Coturnix japonica: one gene and its partner. The protein of the gene in region 2 interacts with the protein of the main gene of each other region in a pairwise test. Links are inferred from orthologs where the notes say so. Each region holds a gene or a part of one and is shown on either strand. Other genes may lie near its edges. The genes, in order: ISG20L2 and EML1.

The links.
Region 1: the proteins of EML1 (region 2) and ISG20L2 interact in binary tests that used the Homo sapiens proteins (3 or more experiments, as listed by UniProt). The two-hybrid records come from large-scale screens. The link is inferred for Coturnix japonica from reciprocal best matches to the Homo sapiens genes EML1 and ISG20L2.

What each region holds. Positions count from the first base shown.
Region 1 is NC_029540.1:644,218-648,122, forward strand, and holds the start of ISG20L2 (interferon-stimulated 20 kDa exonuclease-like 2), read right to left. Parts: upstream 2,916-3,905; 5' UTR 2,857-2,915; coding exon 2,266-2,856; intron 732-2,265; coding exon 531-731; intron 146-530; coding exon 35-145; 3' UTR 1-34. Other genes in the region: protein RRNAD1, read left to right, coding at 3,236-3,367, 3,441-3,737, 3,811-3,873. UniProt on the Homo sapiens protein: 3'-> 5'-exoribonuclease involved in ribosome biogenesis in the processing of the 12S pre-rRNA. Displays a strong specificity for a 3'-end containing a free hydroxyl group.
Region 2 is NC_029520.1:43,885,546-43,889,450, reverse strand, and holds the start of EML1 (echinoderm microtubule-associated protein-like 1), read right to left. Parts: upstream 2,569-3,905; 5' UTR 2,406-2,568; coding exon 2,339-2,405; intron 1-2,338. UniProt on the Homo sapiens protein: Modulates the assembly and organization of the microtubule cytoskeleton, and probably plays a role in regulating the orientation of the mitotic spindle and the orientation of the plane of cell division.

The DNA of each region.
Region 1 (3,905 bases), on a different chromosome or scaffold from region 2:
CATGAGGTTTGGGCTGGACTGTGGGGGCAAGTCATTACTGCTCAGAGTTCAGCATCAAGTGTTGCTCCCACTCTGCCTCCACGATCTTGTATAGCTCCATGGTGGTCCTGGCGTCCTCCACTGAAGAATGTCCACTTTTGCCAACCTGTTGGGGATAGTGACAAGGGGTTGGCACAGCCCAGGGCACTGCTAAGAAAGAAAAAGCCCCAGCAACATTCTCAGCTGCTGGCTCTGCAGCTGAGCTGCTCTTGTAGCTCTTGTATTGAGGTACAAGGCAGTGACTGACCTTGGGATACCCCAGCCCCAGGACGGGACACAACAAACCTCCATCCCCTACCTAAGCACAGATTGCAAAGGAGCAGAGCAAACCTCCCTGCTCTTGCATACTCCCCACAGCCTATTCACACTGCCTGTTTGTTCCCCATGTTCCTTGGGGACACTGGGGAATTTCTCGCCCCAAAAGAAGCTTTGAAGCAGCTTCCTGATGCAGCTGCTGAGATGAGGAGTGAGAAACAGGAGCAGCAGCAGACCTGGATATCTTTGTGCAGCAGTTCCTTGGCGAGGCGCTTTAGGGAGATGCTGACGTTCTCGGGGAATCCACCCTTTCGGTTCAACAAGGGGATTTTGGATGTGTCACGGGTGAGTGCTTTTGGGTGGGAGTACTTGAGAGCCTTGAAATCGTTGTGTATGGCATGGCCAACCACCACCTTTCCAGAGAGGATCTTCAGGATCTGGGGAGGAAAAGAGAGAACATTTGAACAGGCTCCAGTGTACCATGCTGCACAATGGAGGGTCCTGCCCCACAAGCAGAGCGATGCTCAAAACCAGGAGCATGGATCTATCAGTGAGAATCACAGCTTAGGGCTATGATGTACAACTGAATGGGAGCAGCAGAAGCATGGGAAGACATCCCATCTGCTGCAGGATGGGGACTGGGATGTGGACCAAGATGCCATATCCTCAGCAGTCCCCTACCCACCACAAGCAGCTCTAAGAGACCACCAGACAGCCCTCAAAGGCCACTACTGACAGCCCCCAAAGCCACAGACAGCCCTCAAAGCCCACCACAGTCAGCCCTCAGAGCCCACCAAAGACAGCCCTTAAAGCCCACCACAGTCAGCCCTCAAAGCCCACCAAAGACAGCCCTCAAAGACCACCACAGTCAGCCCTCAGAGCCCACCACAGGCAGCAATTAAAGGCCATCACAGGCAGCCCTAAGAGACCACCACAGACTGCCCTAAGAGACCACCACAAGCAGCTCTAAGAGACCATCAGACAACTCCCAAAGCCCACCACTGACAGCCCTCAGAGCCCACCACTGACAGTCCCCAAAGCCCACTACTGACAGCCCAGAAAGCCCACCACAGTCAGCCCTCAAAGGCCACCAAAGGCAGCCCTAAGAGACCACCACAAGCAGCCCTCAGAGCCCACCACAGGCAGCCCCCAAAGCCCACCACTGACAGCCCCCAAAGGCCACCACTGACAGCCCCCAAAGGCCACCAAAGGCAGCCCTAAGAGACCACCAAAGGCAGCCCTCAGAGCCCACCACTGACAGCCCTCAAAGGCCACCACTGACAGCTCCCAAAGCCCACCACTGACAGCCCTCAAAGCCACAGTCAGCCCTCAAAGCCCACCACAGTCAGCCCTCAAAGCCCACCACAGGCAGCTCCCAAAGCCCACCACTGACAGCCCTCAAAGCCCACCACTGACAGCCTTCAGAGCCCACCACAGACAACCCTCAAAGCCACAGACAACCCTCAAAGGCCACCAATGACAGCCCTTAAAGGCCACCACTGACAGCCCTAAGAGACCACCACAAGCAGCCCTCAAAGCCCACCACAGTCAGCCCTCAAAGCCCACCACAGACAGCCCTCAAAGGCCATCACAGGCAGCCCTAAGAGACCACCACAAGCAGCTCTAAGAGACCACCAGACAACCCCCAAAGCCCACCACTGACAGCCCTCAGAGCCCACCACTGACAGTCCCCAAAGCCCACTACTGACAGCCCAGAAAGCCCACCACTGACAGCCCTCAAAGGCCACCACTGACAGCCCTCAAAGCCCACCACTGACAGCCCTCAAAGCCCACCACAGTCAGCCCTAAGAGACCACCACAAGCAGCCCTCAAAGGCCACCACTGACAGCCTTCAGAGCCCACCACAGACAGCCCTCAAAGCCCACTACAGACAGCCCTCAAAGGCCATCACAGTCAGCCCCCAAAGCCCACCATGACCACAGCCCCCCTTCCCCCCCCATATCACCCCACCTCCCTCTGTGCCTTGCAGAAGGGCACAGCGTTCTCCATGTGTTTCTTTCGGATGCCGCTCCAACGCGTCCTATAATCCACGATGGGAGCCGAGGGTTTCACGTAACGATCATACAACACATCCCCCTCATAACCCACAATACTACAACGTGCCAAGTCACTGTTTCTCCCACCGGGTCCCGTGCCCACCATTTCACAATCGATAGCCACCAACTTGCTGGGTGCTGGTGGGGACCCGGAGGATCCTATTAAACCCTTATGGGTTTTATTAACTCCTTGTGGCCCTTTGGTGCTCGTTCCTTGCTGGGTGCTGCAGGTTGAAGCCTCGTTGTTCCCAATGGACCCATTGGGGCCTTGCTTTCCGTTCTCCTCCCGTTCCCCTCCGCCCTTTGTCCGTTTCCTCTTCCTTCGGCCTCTACCACCGCATTTCTTTAGGCCTCCCCCTTTAGTTTGAACGGCAGATGGGAGCTGTTGACGTTTCCGTTCTAATTGGCGTCTCTTAATAAATCTCTTGTGTTTACGGTTCCCGGATGGGACCTTACGGGAACGATCGACGACCCCAAAGGTGACGTTAAGGATCAGGTCCGACATGTTGAAACCGGGAGCTCCCAGCAGGCCTCCCCTCCCCCCCACCCCCCCACCACACCGCCACTAACGGAAGCGGAAACTGCCGGCAACGGAAGCGGAAACTGCCGGCAACGGAAACGCCTCGTGGGCCTGCGGAAGCGGGAGGTGAGTGGCGCTTGGGGCCGCTCTGGCCTGCGGGAGGGGGCGTCTCTATGACCCAGGAGGTCTTGGGTTGGTGGGGGGGTGGCGACCGTGTTATATCGCGATTCTGTGAGCTGTGACATGGCTCTGAATGGACCTTGTGGCTCTATCAGGTCATGGACAAGCAGAGATTGGCATCCCCAGGGTGACGTCACGACTTCAGAGTGATGTCATGAGCTCAGAGTGACGTCATGAGCTCTGAATGACGTCACGCCTTCAGAGTGACGTCACAACCATGGCAGGTGCCCCCCATCTCTATTGGGAGCAGCAGCGAGCAGCCAACATCGTCCGCCTCCTATCCCTGTACCGTCCCCTCCTCGACTCCTACATCATTGTGAGTGTCCTCAGTGCATCCTCCATGTCTCCGTCGTATCCCCATGTTCAGCATCTTTCATTCCCCCCTACAGGATTTCTTCACTGAGGGGCTGTGGGCAAAGCTTCCATCTGCATGGCAGGCAGCCTTAGAAGCAGCAGAGCCCCCCCAGCTTGCAGCCATGCTGCTGGGGAATGGGGGTATGGTGGGGCAGGGCACAGTGTGGCCGCTCTCCTTGTTGGCTTTCAGCGCTGCTGTTCATGCCCTTTCCTTCCCAAGGGGGCAGGTGGGATGTGCCCCACGTCCACCGTGTCAAAGCCCCCGTTTACATCCACTTTTGCGTCGCCATGTGAAGCCTAAGAAACAGCATGAGATCTGGCGACTGGGAAAGGTGGGTGCTTCAGTTCTAACCCTCCTGGTGTCACCTCGTAGCTTGCATGTCAACCCACGTTCCCCTCTTATAGGTACTGCAGCAGCTGAGCAAAGCGACTGGCTGTGACCGTGTGGTGGATGTAGGTGCAGGGCAGGTAGGAAGGGGCTGCTGTGAGGTGACCCTTAG
Region 2 (3,905 bases):
AGAAATGAAGGAAAATAGCTGCTTACCTTTGGAAGGAAGGTAGGAAGGGATCTCTGGCAACAGATGCTCTCACTTCCACTGCCAACGCTTAAATGAGTGTCACTCAGGTACACTGCATGCACCTGAGCTCCCCTGGGTTGGCCCTGCCTTCCCACCAGGTGCTCAATCACTGCTTCAGGCTGTGACTTAGCATTTCCACTACAACCTGTAAAACTAGAATCGATCCTTTTTTCCTCTCTTCAGAAGGGAAAACCTTTCAACCTACAAAGATGGACAAATCAAGTGCTTACCATCCACGTTGTTTTAATTTGCTTTGCCCTACACCAAAATCATATTTTTCTTCAAATGCCTATTACCTGCTCTCTCTGTTTGATTCTTCTTTATTCCTGCCCTACTCCAGCCCCACATCATCTCTCACAGTACTCTTTATACTTGAAAGAGCTTTCCGCTTCCTTCCAAAGCAGTTTTCTTCTCCTCTTTCAACCCTAAAACCTTCACTGGTTATTCCCCATCTGCATTTTTTTCCCTTATGGGTCATGTGTCTGTATGAAATATCTGATCATCTCAAGGCACTATTCAAAGACCCCATTTTCCTTTTCTGCTTCATGTCGTATAATGAAGTCTCACTGAATGTTAACTCATTAAAGGAAAGGCTTTGAATCAAACCACTTTCTTTTATAAACACAGAATAATTCAAGTTAACAACAGTTTCCTGAGCCTCTACATCGACAATTACATGGCAGACAGGCAAATAATCCCTACAGTAACTCATTCTCGATGATAAAACTTAAGGATTAACTAAGATTTTCAAACCTATATGCAACATAAATATATACGGTGTATTTTCACCGCACGTACTACGTGCTCAGAGTTAAGAAATCAAAAGAAGTGTGAGTTCTCAGAAATCAGATACTCCGCATATTCAAGCTGCTCAGAAAGTGCTGTTCCTCCCACTGTTCCCACATGTACGCTACTGCCATGAACACAGCAAAAGCAGAGCCCGAGGATTTTGGTAGGAAGCCAGCTTGCTTACAAATGGATTAGGGTATGAAGTTTGAAATGAATCAATGTGATGCATATTTTCTTGCTAAAAATTACTCGCAATAAAATATTTACTAAGTTTAGGCAAAACAGGCATCTGTTATTAGCACACAACCCCCGTACACACTCATGGTTTTCCCTCTGGAAGAGCTCAGAGAACACAGCAGCCCCACACAATGCATAGCTCAATTCTTCACATTCTGAGAAACTACTCCCACAGCATCAAGGTCCACATGTATCACTGCCTTCTGTAACCCTACCCCTGTTGTGCAGCACACCGCAAGAAGAATCCTGTGGGATGTGGAAAATATGAAGATAGGAGAAGAGGCAGGCAAGCTGCTTGATGCAGTTGTTGTCATAAAAGCGATTTAATACTAACCTGGCTCCAGCTCCGCAGATAGCAGACAGCCAGAGAGCTGCTAAGACCTGGAGGAACTAGAGATTCACACGTCAGTTTTCAGTGAAATCTGAGATTAGGAAAGCTCCTTATTTTGCTGCTGAAAAGCAGGAACCAGTCTCCAAATATTTGATTTTCATTCTGAAGTTTTCCAGGAACAACTCTCAGCAGCACTATATTTTCACCCAATAACAGCAAGCACCAGCCAGCTACACAATCCCCACTGCTATGCAGGCCAGCATCACAAATATTTCCTCTGATAATACCGACAAATTCCTTGCTTCCTCCTGTCTTTCCCACAAGCTGTCACCGTGGGCCAAACAGCTCGCCTTCCAGGCCACCACACACATCACACCAGGTAGCCTCCAAGTGAAATAAACCTTAAAAGCCTATTAAAAATAAAACGAAGGAGAAGCAGGTGACAGCAGAGCAGCTCAGGAGGCTGCCAGCCCCAGCTCACTGATCCCAGGGCCACCTGGCCAGGCTGGCAGGACGCTCCGTGCCACACTCGTGGCTCCGGGCTGTGACACAGCACGGTCACACACACACACACACACGGAGCCCCATCCTTTGGATGGCCGCACTCCGCAGTGCCGCACGGCGATGGGTGACGACTCGTGCCGGCGGCTCAGCACTGCTCCAAGCCGGATACACGCACACACACACACACACGTACACGAATTCCTACGGGCCAGGTGCAGAAGTTCCCCGCGGCTCCGGAGCCGCGTAACGGGAAGGCTGAAGGCGAAGTTTCCTCCCTCCCTCCCTCTCTCCCCGCATCGCGGCCGTGGCCGTGCGGACAGGCCCTGCCTGCAGGCCCCTCTCCCCGCCGCCGGCCTCCGCCCCCGCCCCGCCGGGACGCCGGCACCTCGCCGCTCCCCGCGGCCGCCTCGCCCTCACCGTTGCAGAACTGGAGCAGCGAGGAGGTGTCGTAAAGGCTGCTGTAGCTGGAGAAGCCGTCCTCCATCCTGCCGCCGCGTTACCGACCTCCCTTCGCCCGTCCCGGCGGCCGCCTCGTCCGCGCACTGAGGAGCGGAGGCGGCCTGCTGCCTGCTGCCTGCCTCACTCAGTTGCCATGGCGACCCATTCACTCCGCCGCTGATGGGGCGGTGGCCGCGCCGGGGCTGCGAGAGGGGGCGGCCTCGGGGCGGGGCGGGGCGGGGCGGGGCGCTCCCCGCTGCTGAGCGGACCGAGCCGGAGCCGCCCGGGATCTCCCCTCCGCCGTCAGAGGGCGGCCGGCCCGCGGGATCTCGCGGGAAAGAGCCCGGTGAAGGAGAAAGCCGAGCGGAGAGCGGCGTCTTGCGGCCGCTTCTCATCGGCAGCCGCCCGCAGCCCGGGCCCCTCGGGGTGTGTGCCCTGCTGAGCAGCGCCCAGAAGGGAACGGGGATAGGAGGAGAAACGCGTCCGCCGTTGGGAGGTCCTTGGAAAGGTGCCCCGGAGCGATGCGGAGGCTGAAGTTTGGGATGCGGGGAGTTGCAAGTCAGAGTGTGTATGGCAGGAGTTCTGCCGCAGGTCTGGGGCAGCCTGGCTGTTCGGTGCTGCCTCAGCATCCCCCTTCTGACAGCTTAAAAGCTCCCCTTGCTTTCCCTGGAGCAACCCTGCGGTGTCTTCATTTCAGAGGCAGCTCCTCTGGCCATAGGATAGAGCTGTCACCATAGTACTGTGACTGATGTTCTCTTACACTAACAAGGTGAAGATAAGTGCTGGATCTCAGAGTCCACCCAGTTCCAACCCAATACCATGGGCTGGCTGCCCCCCACCAGCTCAGGCTGCCCATGGCTGCATCCAGCCCAGCCTTGGGCACCTCCAGGGATGGGGCACCCACAGCTCTCTGGGCAGCTGTGCCTCACTGCCCTCTGAGTAAAGAATTTCTTACATCTAACCTAAATTTCCCCTGTCTTAGTTTAAAGCAATTCCCCCTCGTCCTATTACTATTAGGCAGTGTAAAAGTTGCCTTCAGTTTCTGCGCTGGAAATGCTGACGCGTTCAGTGATCAAAAGCCATTTTTATTTCAAGCTCTTCTGCAGACAAGACAAAAATAACATGTTGCATTTCTGCAGCACCTCTTTTCCTCTTGAAAAACGCCAGAACGCTTAAAGTGTGACTTTGTGTCTCAGTCCTTTAAGGAGCTTTTTTTGCATGACAGTTCCATCATATGGATCCAGTTACAGGCCTGAGTTCTGTATATGCGAGTCTTTGCACCAATCACTGAGCCATAGCAGCGCTAACACAAAAATATGCTATAAAATTAGGCTGGGATATCAGTTCCACATTAAAGTAGGGTGAAAAGTGCTCCCTTCTGAATTGCCATTGCCAGTATTGGTAGAATTGAAGAGATCTCCAAACCAGCGTGACAGAAACCACTGTGTTTTATAGCTGCAGGATATAAGAGAAAGGAAATTTGTAGTTGTTTAGTTAAAAATAAAATATAATAAAAAATGAAAACGACTTCAAAAATACTGTGTTT